Coturnix japonica: one gene and its partner. Each later gene encodes a partner of the first gene's protein in a complex. Links are inferred from orthologs where the notes say so. Each region holds a gene or a part of one and is shown in the gene's direction. Other genes may lie near its edges.

Region 1 (4,956 bases):
ACAAATGAAAATATTTCAAAGCAGTAACAGCAGCACCTTATACAGAGATATTAAATGAATATATAAAGATTCCTGACTTTTTCACCACAGTCACAGAACCTCATCGCCATAGTTCTACCAGATAAAGTTAAATAAAAATCAGCTCTCACTGCACCTTTCCATCACTTCAAAAGCAGGTAATATTGAATTATTACTTCACAGGGAGGCTTCTTTTACAAAGAAAATCACAACAGGAGTGGCAGGCTGCTCATTCTGGCCATGCAATTCCATGTCAATCCTAGTAACTGAATGCCATTCCTACAGCCCCGTGTCTCTCTTACACAAAGCCAAACCAGAGAACCAGTTTTATTCTCACACAACACCAACTCATGCTATTCCACTATACAGTCCCCGTTATTTCAAAGGCATCGCTTGCAGAATAGCAGCTATGCATTCGGTATTTGTTGACCTGGGACCTTACAACAGAATAAACATCTGGTTTCAGGATTCTTTATCATTATACATGGGAAACAAATGGATCACAATGATACTGAAGTCCTTCCTAGCCTTGATGTTACCCAGAAGCAGGGAGAAGGCTCCTGCCCCTCAGCTCCCTCATTCTACTCAGTGAGTAACACACTCATTCACCAGATGGTGTATCAACAAACACTGAACTCACAGAGCCAGGACATAAATTCATGGTGTCAACCAGTACCAACAAGATGCCAGTCCACCCATTTAATGCGGTCTCTGGGAAAACAAGTGATGTGTTATTTCAGACCTGTGAACCTGGAGAAAGGCGCAGTGCTGCTCTGCTGCATGGCTGGGCAGTCGTGGGCTCAACAGGCACCGGTGGTAGAACCAGCTGCTTCTCAGAGGCACCACATTGAAGCCCCCTGAGTCAGAAAGAAACAAGCAGTGAGGTTTGCAAAACTTACCATGGTATCACCTATTAAATGCACATCGCTCCCATCTGGTTGCATGGTAAAAAACTGCATTCTTGTTTAAACCCATGTGAAGCCAAAAATCGCAAGTGCTAACAGCAGGTTGCTGCAGCTGCTTAGGACAACATTTACCTTTGTATTGCTTTTAACCTATACAGAACCCCAAATAACCCAATTGGGACCAACGTTCCCCATTTGCCTCACAAGATCCTCGTGCTGCAGTCTCTCTGTTTCACTCACCATTCAAGGGGCTGTTTGGAACGTACTTCTTCACTGCCAGCAGCAGAAATAGTTAATAATTCTCTGTTTGGAGCACTTGAACAGCTCTCAGCGTGTTTCTGCCAGAGGAGAAAAAAAAGAGGAATCAATTATAAACGTATGAAGGACACACTAAGTTAAACTCCATCTTCCCTTGACTGAGAAGTAGTGCTTCTGTTGGGCTCAACCTGGATTTGTCCAGAGTTAAGGAAACCACCCACAGCCCAGCACCCACCCACATCTCAGCACCCACTTGTAACAGCCCAGCACCCACCCACAGCCCAGCACCCACCCGTAACATCTCAGCACCCACCCTCAGCCCGGCTATTACCCGCTGTCCGTGTCCCTCAGTGCCGTCCATCCCCTCATCCCGCCCCCATGGCAACACGACGCTCGGACCGGGCCGCACCACCCGCCTCACCGCGGGGGGAAGGCGGGGAGAAGCGGGCGGTGCGGCCGGTCGTTCTGTCGGTGCCAAGCGCTGCTCCCGCTCCCTGCCCCGTTGCCGATCCTCTCTCCTCTCACCGTGTCCCCTGTCCCCTTAGCAGCTCTCAGCCGTCACTCCCCACTCTCCTCTCCGCTCTCCGTCCCTCCCGCCCCGCTCTGTGGTAGCGGCGGGCGGAAGGGGCGCGTAGTGCGGCGGGCGCCATGGCGGCGGCGGGGCCTTACGCGCTGCTCAGCAGCTGTGATGGCGGCTTCGCGGCCGAGGAGCTCGTCAGGCGTGAGTGGGCGGCGGGTCGTGCCGTGGGGCTGCCCCGTAACGATGTAACCGGTGGTGGGAGATGTGGGTCGGCTGATGTTACGTTCTGTGCGCCGGTAACGGCCCCACAGCGGCAGGAGGGAGGGAGGGAAGGCAGGAGCAGGGACGCGGCTTCCATTTGTACGGCCTGAGATTGCGAGGAAAATCCGGTAGAGGAAACTTGAAGCGTTCGGTAGCGCCAACATGAGGGAGGGTCCGGGGAGAAGCTGTTCGGATCGCGGTGGTTTTGCTCTTATGGCTGTTTAGAGCTGTGACGGATCACTGGATGTGTGGTAAGATGGATGGTCAGTTTGGACCTGAGATGCCATTCAGACCCAGCTGTACCTCAGAATCTATAACATGAAACAAATAACGTACCTTTGTCATTGCTGCTTTCACCACCGTGCTCCTGGATTTCCTTGTATAGGCACTTGCAGTGGGCAGAGCTGTTTGATACATACAGGGCAGCTGCTCGGAGGATTCTCTGCTGGAAGTCTGTAAAACCTGCACCCTGCTGCTTCCAGGCTGATTGCGAGGCTCCTCACAGCCCGCACGAGGAGTTCGCTGTAGTTTGGAGGAGTATTTCTTATGTTGTGTTCCACCAGGTGGCTCTCAAGGCACAGAATGGGAGCGATGTGGTACCCACCAGCTGGCAGGACGGGGAGCACTCGGCCATAGGAGAACACTGAGCTGGGCTCCTGTGTGCATTCAATCCAAAGCAAGCTAGAAGAGCAATCAGTACTTAAATCTCTTTGGAAAAAGATGAGAAATTGCAAGGGTTCTGCAGTTCTGCATTGTCCTCTCCCTTGTAAATTAAATCACTGCTTGGAAGACCAAGTCTGTATGTGAGGCCATGAAATGAGAAGTGTGAGTCCAGAGCCTGGGGTGACTCACCCCACCCAGGGAAGCACCTGCTGCTCCAAACAGCTTTTAAACACAATGTGGGACACAGCTGTGCTCCGTCCTAATTAGCATTCAGCAGTTACTGGTGGGATGGTGGAAGTTTCAATAGGTGATGCCAGTGAAATAAAGGTCCAGCATTAGTTGTTCAAGATCCTCTACGAAATACTTCAGTTTTAAATCACGGCTTTGGATGACGTGAAGCCGCATTCTTTTGCAATACAAGCTCTTCCGTGCATGCTTTTAGTTCCTTAATACCGATGCAGCTGGATCCTGCCTGCATTCCTGTTGGCTGAGGAAGCTGTTTGTGCTCCATGGAGGAGTGAGCTGATGGGGCAGCCCCATGGGCCCAGCTGCGCTGCTGTCAGTGTCTGCTGTGCTTTTCCAGGCCCTTTGGATGGCAAAACGCTGCTGCTTGCAACGGCTGGGAAGCCTGAAATGAAAACAGAGTAACTCAGTGGAGATAAGTTTGACAAGCCACCTCCCTTTGCCATATTAGTTTTCTGGAAGTTTATTCCATATCCAAATAAAACATAATAGAGCTTATTCTGACGAATGTTCTCTAAAATTAGATGGGAAACTATTCTGGCTGCATTTACTTTTTTCCATTGAAGCGGAGGCCGCGTTGAGAAGAAACTCCTGGAATCCCAGCACAGCAAATATGATCTTAGGATTCATTCTAGCATGAAACATGTCCCTATGAACTCAGCCTGGGCTGCAAGGTGTGGGATGTGGAAGTCTCCAGAGCCCCATTGGCCCTGATACCCACTGACAATCAACTCCTGGCCTAGCAGCAGTTGGCACATAGTGGATACAATCCTGCTTACCAAAGGTACCAAACTATATTATGCAGAGTATGGCACTTAATTGGCTCATGTCAAAGTGCCTCTATTGCACTGCACATTAAAGCTGTGCACTTTGTAAGGTGCTGTGCCATCATGTTCTGCTGAGATCACATTGCCCCTCAGATCCACAAATCCACCTGGTTCTGAGCTCTCCTTTGTGCTGCCTCATGTGCCAGAGCTCAGGCACTGCTCAGTCTGCCCAGGCTCAGCAGTTAGCTGCCAAAATAACAGTAATAACAACAATAAACACTGAACCTGTGATAGCTCTGGCAGCAGGCTTTACTGCCTTTAGCTGGTAAGACTCAGATCATTCCAGTTCAGACTATCTGGGGGGCAGCATCTTCAGGAATTGTCTCAGTACCTTTAAGGTGCAACCCTTAAAATGTTTGGAAACACCTTTTTTTTCCCCTTTAAACACCTCTGATCCCAGCTGACTTCAGTGATTATATGATTTACTTATGAGATACCCGTGACTCTGTTCATCTGGAACAAGATGTTCTGTCCTTTCCAGCAAGGTACAGATGGGTTGCTCTGCTGCTACCAATAATTCAGCTCCACCAGGTGGCCGTCACGCTACGAGAGTGTTCTGCAAAGGTTGCTGCCAGCACACGAGGGGCAGGCAGTGCAGAGACTGCATTATCCAAGCACTGCCCTGGATTTTAATTGTTGAACTCCTACCTGGAATTTAATGGGCATTACAACTGAATTCCAGTAACTCGCTTTATTTTCTCATTAGTTACCTTGAGATTCTGGTCACAGTCAAACAGGCTTTTTTACATCTGAATGAACATGCAGGGTTTGCTGGAATGAAGTGTAGTTATTTGCTCCATCCATCCTGCTTGTGGGTAATGAGTTTGGGGCTCGCACTTGAAAAGATGTCTCAAGGAGAAAACAACAAAACGCACCTTACTTGAAAACAGCTTCTGTACCACATTTCTTTCTGAAAGCTAGAACCCATTTGGGAGTCATAAATAACATGGTAAAAGAAATGGAGTTTGATTTATATATATATATTTTAAATAGAAAGCAGCTAATTTTGTTGCAGCAAGGGAAGATGGCTCTGTATTGGCATCATACCAAGCTCTGGTACAATTTCCTGTTGAATTTTTCTTGATGCTGGTTTGTTTCACTTATCTCACTCAATTCTTTTTCTACAGGCATCACAGGAAGAGAGGACCTCACTGTGGGTGCTACAACAACTGGAGGAGTGAGCTTCTACCCCTGGACGATAGATAATAAGTATTACTCGGCAGATATTCACCTCTGTGTGGTGCCCAACACAGCTCTGGTT
Region 2 (4,720 bases), on another chromosome or scaffold:
TAACAGGGAACATGTGGATCTGGCTGCTATGTATGTAGTACGGATGTGCAGCTGGGGGTGAGGTGTTGGTCTCTGCTCGGGGTGGGCAGCCTTTGGGTTATGGGCATCCTGATAGTGCAGCCTGTTGGGTGGTTCATGCTGTTGGCAGAGGGTCTGGTGGTTGTTTGTTGGGGTCAGGAGAGGTTGTGTGGTTATTATCTTTTGTTAAACACGATGGCCAGTGTCCCTAGAATAATGGCTGGACAACCCAAGGAAGACTGTGGGCTTTGGAGCTAGTCAGCGATGCCCCGTAATTGAGAAACCATCTCGCAGTGATGATCAGGCCTGGGGCAGGTTCTGTGAGATGCCCGGAGCTCCTGCAGTGCACAGTTTGCCTGCTGTGCACATCTGTGCTCTCAATGACGGCAGTGCACCTGCACCGAGTCACAGTGCTTTCATCGCAGGCTGAATTTTGACGTGTGTCTCTATCCTCACAAACGCAGCTGTGTTGTTTTCTTTGCAGTGGTTTAGTCAGAATACACCTCCTCGTGTGTTAGTCTAATTTTGTGTGTTGGGAAGGATGTGCCTGCCGTTCAAATCTGCATGTAAAATCAGTGCAGTAATGAGTTTACAGATGGCAGTGCAATCTCCATACCGCACATCCCAATATATACACACACATATATGCTACCTTTCTGGTTACCTCTCGACACAGCTCTCTGTATCCATTTCCCTGGTGTAACGCTTATGTAAATAACCGGAGTTCATACTGTGCCCTTTAAGGTCAGTAAATATGGGAGGTGATTTCGGGGAAGCTGATCTCAGGCCTCTTCTCCCTGGTGCATGCACTAAACAAACGCCAGTTCTCAAAGCACTCACCATAGTCCCGAGGGAGTGGTGCTCACAATGGTGCTACTTATTAGCAGGTCTGTCTGCTGTTTGATGACTGTAATTTCGTAAAGTGAGTGTGTATTCTTATTCCTTTGCTGAGCTCGCAGCCCGAACGCTTGCTGGCATGGTTACAGCAGGCAGTGCTGTCAGCCTTACCCTGCCCTCCTGTTGTAGACCCGGTGCCGATGAAAGGGCGCTTTTGTCAGGGTACTCGTGCTTAAAATTCCTCTGCCTGTCCTCCAGGAAGGGTTGTTGTGTTGAGTTGCTCATCAGGAATTAAGGATTATTGAGTTACAGACTAAGAATAAACCTTATTCAGGCTCACAACTGAAGAACTTTTAGATAAAAGCTCTCCTTAGCTCAGTTTTTCCTGTTTAGCGTGAGGGGGTTGTGCTTGCCGCCAGTGTTAAATGCTTGGAGACTGGAATGGAAGGTACTCCTGCAAATGGTACTGTGTCTCAGCAGGGGGGGTTGTTGCCGTTGTTTGCTGTGCTGCAGATTTCCAGGCTGGTTTCAGGGGAGCTCATCAGACAAGCGTTGTGTCCTGCTGAGAATGGCTGCATTACTGCCCAGCTGCTGCCTTGTGACGTGCAGAACAAAGGATTTTTAGAATACAGACTGCTTTCTGCTCTCTGACATATGGGTGCAGCAGTGAAACTTGGCCGGAAGGGTTGCTGTCTCAACAGATCAGAAAGTGAAAGCCGGGATTGGACAGAGAAAATGATTTCTTTCCCCAGGGACACGTGTTGCTGCAATCTTTCATGCCCGTAAGTGTTGCAATACCACCATCCCACAGCCACCTCACCATTATCAGTATTATCAAGTTCTCTGTTTGCACAGCTCTGAGTGCAGAACTGGTGCCTGCAGAGTAAAAGGTTCTGCTTCCCTCCTGCTTCTTCTGCTCATCAGTACAGTGCAAAGCGTCAGTACCTGTTGGCATGACCTGAAGCCCTGGAGAAAGATCAATAGAAGCTCCTGGCAAACAGGAGGCCCTAAAGACATACTTGGCGTGCTTGGGAAGGAGTTGGCAGGTGGTGTTTCCATGTAGCAAGGCATATGATACTCGTCACAGATCTAGAAACCTGGCTGGAAGTGTTGGTTGAGGTGAGTGCAGGTGCTGACACCTGCCTGGTGTTTGTCAATGAACTCTCGTCTTTTCCGAATATTGACTTTCCCAATAGTCTCAGTGCCCTTGACTGCTAAAATAAACACAGGTCTGTAAAAGATATTTTTAGTGTTGTGCAGAACTTACTGTCAGTGATTTGAAGAAGAACGTGCTCTAAAACTTGCCTGTTCCACCCCCCCTCAGTGACACAACTGTGTATCACCTAGCAGAGGCAATGAACCTCACCTCTAGGAGTTTAACTTGGAAGGATGTGAAGGGCAGCAGATAAAAATAGATGGGAGAAGAAGAGAAAACCACAAATAAACAAATCTGGTTGTTGGAGGCAGTGTTACACGTAGTGTGTGTGGGGGGTAAAGTGTGATGTTTGTTTGTCATGCAGTGAACAATACGTATGGGAATGGGCAATGGTAATGGAGTAGCTTTCACTGGAGAAGATCCTAATGGATGGAGACTTGGAAGTTGATTCTGTAGGAGAAAGGACAGAAATGTATGAAATAATGAATGCTGTAAGGAATGCCTCCTAACAGACAAGTAAGGATACAATTTGTGAGGTTTCTAGATATTAAATGTAAAGAAAAGGGAGTATTTGTTTCATGCAGGTTGTCGCTGGCTGTTGCTGTGATCCTCTTTAGTTTTGGATCTTCTCTCTCATATACTCACTCATTACAGAGTATCACTTTTCTGGACTCACTGTCTTTGCAGTAATCGTGATTCACTCTCTAGAGTCTCTGGGTAGTATGCTTAGCAAATGGACCATGTGAAAATGTTTGAGCCTTTGCAGCTTTTCTGTATCTTTCCTCTAATCACTCAAGAATGTTGTGCTTTACAAACCATGCTGTGGATGTGCTGAAGGCGTCAGATTTATGCAAAAGTGCAGAATGATGGAGGTACAGAGGAAACCAATGGGCTGAGGAGGGCAGATAGAGCAGCTCTTGTTGCAGTGCTTGGAGGATTTATGCTTCAGCATTTGGCACGTACATCAGGCATTTATGCAAGCCAGTTGTATTCTTTGCAGCGATGCCTAAATTAAAATGATACTGCTGCTGTAAAAATAATTCTTTCTATATCACCCATGCACATCTACTAATTAAGCTTCCTTCCCATTTGTTTCCCTGCTGTCCTATTCCAGCAGGCTGTCATCTGCCTTTGCTTTGTGTGGAGCTCTCTTGAGCGGCCAGCCTTGGTTCTTTTTATATTTGCAGACATTGCAGTTTAAAGCAGCGTATGATCCAGTCGTGCACAAATGGTGTTTCATTTGCAAGTAGGAATATAGTATGTGGAGTCAGTGGGCTACAACTGGGAACTAAAATTTACATCGGTGTGTTTGAAGGCAAGAATGATGAGTCTTTCTGGCCGGACATGTATTTCTGGTCTAATGTGTCCTGGATTTATGCTTCTCAATGTGACAGATGTAACAGAGGGTGCTCTGTGCAGCAGTCTTTTTTCTTCCCTGGCTTACTGGGTTTGTGAAAGGTGTCTGTGCTATTTTCTATCCAGGCCTAAGGAGAAGAGAGAGGTCATTAAAAGCCTTCTGCAGCATCCAGTAAATGTGGTTGCCTTGCTGCTTGCAGATAGATTTGCTCAGAGGCCTGTGGTTTCTGTCCGCCAGTGCAGGGATTCCTGCATGGTCATCACCTTCTGCTTGGTCCCCTGAGGCACGCAATAGACATGAGGCACAAGGAAATAGGTAATGGAAAAGAGAGTGTCTGGGTTGTCTGCTCAGAGCTTTAGAAATGCCATGGGAGTGGCTGCATGACCTACAATGAAATGCTCAGACCTGAGGGCTCCCAGGCTGAGAAGCTGGAAGTCTCTGTGGAAGACTAAAGTAGAAGATGGAGCATGTCTCTACTGAAAATGCCTCTACCTGTTGTGTGCCCTGCTCCAGGACACAGCCTTCCTCCTTTGCTCCTGAGAGGTCAGAGGTAAGGGAAGAGCACTATGGTGTGCACAGCAGAGCTCTGCAAATAACTGATAAGACGGAGTGGAAATGGGAGTAACAGAGGCCGCACCTTTTGCCAGAGTCCAGTGGGTTAGATTTTAGCTGTGTTTCTTTACCAGGTGTTTGAGAACCAGACTGGGATTATTTATTTTTTTATTTTCTGTGCCTGTAAAACACATAGGGGCTGAGATGAATCATCTTGCAATGAAAGGAATTTGATCACCCCCGCAAACCACAGCCTTGGCACTGCCCTGCTTTCTGCTGAGTCGGGTCACTGGGGCAGTGCTCCCAGCAGCAGGTGAGGCCTCCTGCCCCATCTGCTCAGAGCATCTCACCCTCACCCAGGCTTTCTTGACCAGCAATGTGACTGCAGTTTATAACTGCTCTAATCACCATCACCCCTTCAGGGTTAGCAGGTTCTGTTGCTTTCAGGGCAAGCGCAAGCACTCCAATGCTTTGGGGTGAGATACTGCTTTGAACACTGTTTTCCCATCCTTGGTTTGGGTCAGGAGTGGTTTTGGCTCAGAGCTTGAGTTCAGCTACTCTGTTTCAGTTCTAGGTTTATTTAACTGGGATGAGGGCTCAGTTGGCTGGATCAGTACTACATGGAGTGCCTATCCTCTTGGTGCTGGCATGCTGGTTGGTTGAAACTCTTCAGTAATAAAATAGTGTTGACTACATCTTGAGAAGAATAAAATCAGTGTGTAAATATGGTCACGTGTGCCTGTAATGATCCGGCACAGGTTTTATTGCACGGACTTTGGATGTATTGTTTAGAGGAAATT

What was found. Proteins that work in one complex are often made in the same cells at the same time.
Region 2: the proteins of AAGAB (region 1) and AP1S3 are in contact, whole or in part, in a crystal structure (PDB 9DDT), measured with the Homo sapiens proteins. The link is inferred for Coturnix japonica from reciprocal best matches to the Homo sapiens genes AAGAB and AP1S3. Residues at the interface, in NP_078942.3 of Homo sapiens: Asn51, Lys52, Tyr53, Tyr54, Glu108, Val109, Met110, Ile111, Gln128, Ile132, Gly135, Phe136, Glu137, Asp151, Phe153, Pro154, Glu155, Arg161, Gln164, Ala165, Asn167, Ala168, Asn169, Val170, Met176; in NP_001034658.1 of Homo sapiens: Arg10, Gln11, Lys13, Arg15, Gln37, Leu40, Ser41, Arg61, Tyr62, Ala63, Ser64, His85, Val88, Asp92, Phe95, Val98, Glu100, Leu101, Asp102, Ile104, Phe105, Asn106.

The regions. Positions count from the first base shown.
Region 1 is NC_029525.1:17,110,792-17,115,747, reverse strand, and holds the start of AAGAB (alpha- and gamma-adaptin-binding protein p34), read left to right. Parts: upstream 1-1,794; 5' UTR 1,795-1,829; coding exon 1,830-1,902; intron 1,903-2,102; exon of another isoform or gene 2,103-2,206; coding exon of another isoform or gene 2,207-2,213; intron 2,214-2,298; coding exon of another isoform or gene 2,299-2,379; exon of another isoform or gene 2,380-4,822; coding exon 4,823-4,956. Other genes in the region: IQCH (IQ domain-containing protein H), read right to left, coding at 761-875, 1,164-1,261, 2,299-2,379. UniProt on the Homo sapiens protein: May be involved in endocytic recycling of growth factor receptors such as EGFR.
Region 2 is NC_029524.1:6,846,439-6,851,158, reverse strand, and holds the start of AP1S3 (AP-1 complex subunit sigma-3), read left to right. Parts: upstream 1-1,734; 5' UTR 1,735-1,926; coding exon 1,927-1,974; intron 1,975-4,720. UniProt on the Homo sapiens protein: Subunit of clathrin-associated adaptor protein complex 1 that plays a role in protein sorting in the late-Golgi/trans-Golgi network (TGN) and/or endosomes.